Callithrix jacchus: one gene and its partner. The protein of the gene in region 1 purifies or fractionates together with the protein of each later gene. This does not show direct contact. Links are inferred from orthologs where the notes say so. Each region holds a gene or a part of one and is shown on either strand. Other genes may lie near its edges.

Region 1 (4,298 bases):
CTACTCAGGAGACCAAGGGGGAGGATCACTTGAGCCCAGGAATCCAAGGCTAGGATTGTACCATTACACTCCAGCCTGTGTGACAGAGCAAGACTCTATTTCTTAAAAACACACATATATTAGCCGAGTGTGGTGGGCACCTGTAATGCCAGCTACCTGGGAGGCAGGAAAACTGCTTGAACCCAGGAGGCGGAGGTTGCAGTGAGCCAAGACAGTTCCATTGCATTCCAGCATGGGTGACACAGGGTGACTCCATCTCAAAAATATAAAAATAAAAACACACACATACAAACATAATCGCTAAAGTAAAACGCTATTTTTTGCACTAAAGTGTACATTATTTTACCAGCTTCTTATTTAGGAAACAAAGATATTTTTTAAATTCCGGGTTTTTTTTTTTTTTTAGCTGCTAATATTCATAGCTTGTTCACTGCTATATTCCTTATACCCCTAATACAGACACAGAGCAGGCACTCAGTAAATATTTGTTGAATGAAAAAACTACTGTACAATTATAAAGCCAGTTTTTCAGAGGGGAAAAGCACCTAACATCTGGTTCACAAATTCACAGAGGCCAAAAAAAAAATCACTTCAGAAGGTATTTTAGAGCTGGACGTGGTAGTTCACGCCTGTAATCCCAGCACTTTGGGAGATATAGGCTGGTAGATTGCTTGAGCACAGGAGTTCTAGACTAGCCTGGGCAACATGGAGAAACCCTGTCTCTATAAAAAATTTAAAAATTAGCCAGGAGTGGTGGTGTGTGCCTGGAGTCCCAGCTACTCCGGAGGCAGAGGTGGAAGGATTACTTGAGCCAAGGAGGCAAAGATTGAGGTGAGCTGAGATCACCCCACTGCACACTTGCCTAGGTGCAAAAGACTGTCTCAAAAAAGATAACAGAGATTTTAACAGTTTAGCTCCCAATCTGGATGAGTTAGGATTTTTTTAAGCAAATATTTAAAGAGTGAAATCTCATCACGTAAGTAATCTTCAAACTCTACCGAATTTGTCCGAAAAAAGAGCTCCTTCAAATCAGTTTAATTCACAACCTGGAGTGTGGCACATGCCTGGTCATAAATACAAATAATAAAAAGATACATAAAGCTTTGGGAGAAAAACACAGCTGTCTAATAGACGAAAATCAATAATGGACAACGAGTCTTAATTATGGTCTATTTCAAAGTGCTTATTTCTGCAGGTAATTAACTTTTAGCTTGAACCAGTGAGATCAACTTCATCTTTTCTTTGAAAGCCAACGCCCCTAACAAGGTGCCTTTTGATCTTCAGATCCTAAAAGAATGTCCCATAGATGGTAAGCCCTCTATGACCACTGACAGTGCTGATGGGAGAAGCGAGGTACCTGGGAGACCAAACAACAAGCAAGGTTTTAGGCTCAAGAGACTTGTTTAAAATCTCCAAGAAAAAAAAACAGCCTTGAACAAACTCGAGTTTTTTTTTTTTTTTTAAGGAAGATACAGACTAACGAAATGTGAATGCATTGGAAAGGATAATTTATATAAACAACTGCCACTGTGGAGCACAGCTCCCTCTCCGTGCAGTTTCCTTCCCAAAGAAAGCACTTTTAACAACTTGCTTCAGAACACTTGACCCAGCAGTCTACACGATTCTAAAAACCCACCCACTTCCTGGACTAGTTTTTCAATCACTGTTTTTCATTCTAAATCTTCCTTTGAGAGGGTAATTTAGTCCCAACTATGAAAACACAAGGGCCCAAACAGACTGTCACCAAATATCAGTAATGTTTAGAGGAGGGAAGTAAAAACACTCTCCGTCAAACTAACCTAACGGGTGTTTAGCGAGCGAGTGACTGGTGTAAATAAAATAACAATCCCTTCAGACTGTCCTGCAATCTTCCTCCAACCCTCCCGGCTCTTTAACAACTGAAAATAAATTCCTCCAAGGTGCAGGCCCTCTCAGACATTTCTGCCACTAGCAATGACTGTCCAGGAAAGAATGCTTTGAATTCACTGGGAAATCTCCACCAACAATTCACTTAGTAAACTTGTTACTCAAAGGACCCATGCCTTAGTCTCTACTCTCCCCTTCCCTCTTGAGACCACCGGTCCTGGTTCACATATCTCGGTGACCACAGTCGGTGACTACGTCCTGGGTATGAAACAGGTGACCAGCAAGTGATTTTGCCATTTCATGGAACTGCACAACTCAAAAAGAAAAATCTTTGGAAACCATCTCAAATCAATACGTGTGTTCAGTTTGGTTAATAAACAGCTACAAATGATTAAAAAAAAAAAAACAGGTTTTCCAGTTGAACGAACTGTACAGAACCTGGAAGCCAGTGTGAACCTGCCGCGAAGCTACTACTGTCTGGACTGAGGGCAGCTGTGCCAGAAAGAAACGCAGCCCATGCTGGACGCCCGAAGGCAGGTGGCCAGGAGAATGGCGAGCGCTGCGTCCGAGGACTGGACTCCCCGCGTTCCTGCCCCGAGGCCGGGAGCTCAGCCGGGAGGAGAAGGGTTGGACCCCGAGGGGCTGCGGGCGTCCGCAGCCGCCGCGCCAGGGAGGGGCGCCCGTTTCCTTGACAACCGCGCCAAGGCGGAGTCCTTCCTCTGGGCCGGGGGAGGGGAGAGAGGAGCGAGGGGACCCCCTGCGCCAAGGCGGCGGCGGCGGCCGCGGGTGTTTCTTGGGCGCAGCAGCCGCAGGCCCGCCTCGCGGGGCCCTGTCCGGCCGCGGCTCGCGCCTACCGTGTATCCCCGCTCCAGGTCACTCTCCTCGTAGCGAAAGGACGGGATGTAGACTTCCATGGCCTTGCCGGCCAGCCGGCGGAGGGTGAGTGGGGGGCGGGCTCACGGCCGCGACCGCCGCTCCGCCCACCGCCGGGCCGCCCCGCCTCCCGCTCCCAAGCGCCCGCGGGGCCCGGAGGCTGCGGGTCGGGATTCAAGTCCGCGCGCTGACGCGGTCGCTCGCCGCGCCCAGGGCGTGCCAGGGCAGGGAGCAGAGGGCGCAGGGCTCCTGGCGCCTGGGTTTCGGGCCTAATGGGCGGTGGAGATCAGCTGGGCCCGAAGGAGGCGGGGCCAGAAAAATCTGAGCCTGCAGAAACCAATTGTGTGCGCCACCGCGCTAGGCGCAGGGACTGGGCCGCACCCGGTGCCCACTACCCAGCGGATTTCGGCGGGCGCTTGATTTGCAGTTTGCTAGACACCACCATTAACAGATTGCCAGACAGCAAAGAATAGAAAGCGTGGCGCTTTTAACTTTTGTTTTGTTTGGTTGAAATTTGTTTTTGTCTCTCGGCTGGTATTAACGGGTGAACCATCCAGCTTTTACCAAGACTCTCCGATTTCCTTTCGACTCGTCGGTCACCGTCTCCTTTTGAGTTAGCCGTCGAATCTGGGAATGTTGTTGTCCCACCGAGTTCGAAGTGAACCTAAAAGTTGGCAGGTCACTAAGAGACAAACGCTCTGACTTCACGCTCCAATTCTAAAATGCTGCCCTCTAACTGTGAAGTGCTTTTTTAACTATAAGGGAAAAACAGAAGACAAAAAAAAAAGAAAGAAAGAAAAGGAGGGACTGAACCCCGCACCTCGGACCAGGACCTAGTAGCCTGAAGGTCCCTAAAATATGAAGTGTCCCAGCGGAGGAAGCTTGATTATCAAGTTACTCAAGTAAACACTGAGTTTCTTCTTTAGGTTAAAGCACGGAGAATAGAAACGTGGACTTAGACGGGCGCGGTGGCTCACGCCTGTAATCCCACCACTTTGGAGGCATAGGCCAGCACATCAGGAGTTCGAGATCAGCCTTAACATGGTGAAACCCCGTCTCTACTAAAAATACAAAAATTACCCCGGGCATGCTGGTGCGTGCCTGTAATCCCAGCTACTCAGGAGGGTGAGACACGAGAATCACTCGAATGCGGGAGGCAGAGGTTGCAGTGAGCTGAGATTGCACCATTGCACTCCAGCCTGGGCGACAAGAGCAAGACTCCGTCTGAAAAAAAGAAACAGGAAAAAAAGGCCGAGCGCGGTGCCTCATGCCTGTAATCCCAGCATTTTGGGAGGCCCTGGTGGGCAGATTACAAGGTCAGGAGTTCGAGACCAGCCTGACCAACAAAGATGAAACCCCATCTCTACTAAAAATACAAAAATTAGCCAGGTGCATAATATCAGCTACTCGGGAGGCTGAGGCAGAAGAATCGCTTGATCCCGGGAGGCGGAGGTTGCAGTGAGCCGAGATCGCACCACTGCACTCCAGCCTGGGCGACAGAGCAAGACTCCATCTCAAAAAGAAAAACAAAGAAAAGAAATATGGATGTGATTTGTTGG
Region 2 (3,500 bases), about 38 Mb from region 1:
GTCTACATATTCCTCAGAGATATTTTTAAAATACCATGAAGCTGAATGTCCTTTTGTGTTTATTTTCCCCATGTTTTGTTTTCACTATGAATCTGCAGAACTTAATCATCATTTTTGTTTTGCTTAATAAATGTATTTTGCTCATTTTAATATTTGTGTATTGAGCTGGTTTTCATATCAAGAGAAACTTTTAAAGTATGAACTTTATTTCTTAGTGTTTTACAACACTAATTTTCCTATAATTATTTGATTGCTTAGGAAGGGAGTTTAATCTTATTACTTGGAGAGTTTTCATCATCTAGTAACATTTACTAATAATTTAGTCTTCATTCTTTTATAGTGAACTAAGTAAAAATAAGTATCTCGTCGACATGGTGACTGAAGCTCAAATGTCAGTGTCTTATTGTTCAGAGTATAATTGAGAATAGGTTATAATGCTTGGCTGAAATAGATGTTACTCATGCTCCTAAGAGAGGTACTTGGTCAGATCTTTATAACCTAAATCAGTAACTTGCTTTATTTATTTATTTATTTATTGACATGAAATCTGCAGGTTAGGTGATTGTGTTTCCCTGCACATCACAAATTATAAACTGGCAAAAGGGACCCAATAGCCTAATGGAGAGAAGAACTACAAAATGCAGGAATAACTAGAGAACAATAGACTAGGTCTATATAGTTTAAGGGAACATAGACCTGCCCAGCTTAATAATAATTGTAGATTAACTATTATTAAAATATAGCATAATAGGTGATTTTATGACCAAGGCCAAAATCTTAAGGAAAGATTATTTCTCTTCATATGATAGGTAAAATGAATATGTTTTGGAGGGTTTTTTTTCCCTCTCATAAAAATAGTTATTTACTTATAAAAGGCTTAAATTCTAGAGTGTAAAGTTGAATTATATAGAACAATTAGCTACATTATAAATGAATACCCTTTATTCAGGTTTCTCTGCTGCAAAAAAGAAAAAAAAACCAAATGAATAACTTATTCCTCGAGTACCATATAGACAAGATAACACTAAACGTTATTTTGTTTTAAACACTAGTTTTGTTTTTAGTTAGCTCACTTAAACTACTAATTGTAAGCCACCCTGATTTAAATGTTAAGTGCTTTTTGGGGGGATTTTTATATCAGCTTGTTAAATTTTCCAGAAGTTTAGCCTAACACGTGTATTGTGTCAGTGCTAAGTAGTATTTTTTATTAATAAAAAGGCTTTGTTTCGCTGCCAGTATTAGACTTTTAGGGTAGATAACAAGCATTCTGTTGGCCTTTGTAGGAGGGAGGAGTTGAGATAGCATATATCTGTTTTTTTTGTTTTATTTTGTTTTGAGATGGAGTTTTTGCTCTGTCTCCCAGGCTGGAGTGCAATGGTGCAGTCTTGGCTTACTGTAACCTCTGCTTCCTGGGTTCAAGCAATTCTCCTACCTCAGCCTCCTGAGTAATTAGGACTACAGGTGCCTGCCACCACCCCTGGCTATTTCTGTAATTTTAGTAGAGATGGGATTTTGCCATGTTGGCCAGGATGGTCTTGAACTCCTGACCTCAAGTGATCCTCCCGCCTCAGCCTTCCAAAGTGCTGGGATTATAGGCATGAGCTATCGCTCTTGGCCCTTATATCTAGATTTTGAAACCTGATGTTTGTTTACCGATAGTAACAGACTATCAGGTGTCATTATGACAAGTAGCACACTTGTCACTTCTGCTGTCAGTCTTGTATACATTTCTCTACTTACTTTATAAAGACAGGCTCCTGTGTATGTAATGAAATGGGCCTGTGAGATTTGCAAACGACGAGAATAAACTACTAGACTTTTTAAAAATTTGATTTAATGATGAAGACTAGTAAAAGCTTATGGGAGGTGTTAAGTCTGTTCATTATCTGTTCTAGTAATACTTGGGATACTTTATTTTGATATATTTGAATGCATAGTATAGATTCCATTTAATGAATAAGAAGCAGTTTAATTGAACAAGGTTGGAAACCTAATGTTTCTGTATTTCTCTTTTAAAGTTATTCCTTATTGATTTTGGTTTGGCCAAAAAGTACAGAGACAACAGGACAAGGCAACACATACCATACAGAGAAGATAAAAACCTCACTGGCACTGCCCGATATGCTAGCATCAATGCACATCTTGGTATTGAGCAAAGGTAAGTTAGAAAATGGAATGTGCTTATCATAGCCATAGCAGAAGCCGTCAAGGGGTTCTTGAAATATTTTAATTAGTTCCTTACAATGTCTAAGAATGTTTCTTGGCTGAGGATTTGAAGGATGCTTATTAATCATTTTACCTGCTGCTTTAGCCAGCGTTGAGAAGCCAGTTAAATGAGGTATTTTAGTTTTTTGTTGTTGTTGTTGCAGGTTGTTTCTTGAGGGGAAAATACTGCTTGATTGAAAGTTAGAAGCCTAAGTGCAATGTTGAAATTTCTTTTTGCAGCTGAAAATATGTTATTAGTGTCCTAACAAACCAAAAGGGGGTTAATGTTAATCTCCTGTTATACTTCACTCAAATATGTCAATTAATAGGATCTAGTTTAAAGTAAGAAAATTTCAGTCTCTGCTCTCTTTCTGTTTCTTCATATGAGTTCTAGAGTTTCAAGTTCATCTTTTCTACTCACTTTTCATTCATTAAAACAAACATAGAAGTAATTGGAAAAAACAATGGTATGCGTCCAGGTTTAAGAACCTCATACAAATGATTTCAAGCTTAAGATACCCATGAATATCTGAATATCCTAGGTTAAACTGTAATGTCATTTGTCCTATATGCCAAAGAATTACCTATCCTTAAACCTATCTATCTGTATATTTGTATGTATAGATATGTATGTGTGAATACATTGATATAGATGTTCAGATATTCCATTAGTTTTAAGTTGTAAACTCCTTTTCAGCACTTTTTTTTTTTTTTTTTTGAGATGGAGTTTTGCTCTTGTTGCCCAGGGTTGAGGGGTATGGCGAGACCTTGGCTCACCACAGCCTCCACCTCCCAGGTTCAAGCGATTCTCCTGCCTCAGTCTCCCGAGTAGCTGGGATTACAGACATTTGCTACCATGCCCGGCTAGTTTCATATTTTTTTTTAGTAGAGATGGGGTTTCTCCATGTTGGTCAGGCTGGTTTTGAATTTCTGACCTCTGGTGATCTACCCGCCTCAGCCTCCCAAAGTGCTGGGATTACAGGCGTGAGCCACTGAGCCCAGCCTCCTAAGTTATCTTGATGAGTTTCTGCAAAATTTAGAAATGTTGCCCTGCTTGATTCATTAAGCTCATTTCTCTAGAGAATTGTTTAGCTAAATCCTTTTTGTTCTTTTAAAATTAAATTGTTATCTTTAAGGTTTTTTTTGTGTGTGTGAAGAGTGAAAAAAAGAAATAAATAAAATTAAATTGTAAGACAGTTGTTTGTCTGATTTTGGATTCCATGAGAAAAGTTTTGTTTAGAGGTAACACATGAACTTTTAAAAATCACCTTAAATAGTAGCTTCTTGCATAAGAC

The links. The genes of interacting proteins can lie anywhere in the genome.
Region 2: the proteins of SNX24 (region 1) and CSNK1A1 purify together in Homo sapiens (affinity purification with mass spectrometry; 4 studies listed by BioGRID and IntAct, counting the BioPlex papers as one, with this or other methods). This does not show direct contact. The link is inferred for Callithrix jacchus from reciprocal best matches to the Homo sapiens genes SNX24 and CSNK1A1.

The regions. Positions count from the first base shown.
Region 1 is NC_133503.1:86,505,844-86,510,141, forward strand, and holds the start of SNX24 (sorting nexin-24), read right to left. Parts: upstream 2,801-4,298; 5' UTR 2,781-2,800; coding exon 2,721-2,780; exon of another isoform or gene 2,613-2,720; intron 2,532-2,612; exon of another isoform or gene 2,305-2,531; intron 1-2,304. UniProt on the Homo sapiens protein: May be involved in several stages of intracellular trafficking.
Region 2 is NC_133503.1:48,201,020-48,204,519, reverse strand, and holds part of CSNK1A1 (casein kinase I), read left to right. Parts: intron 1-2,018; coding exon 2,019-2,158; intron 2,159-3,500.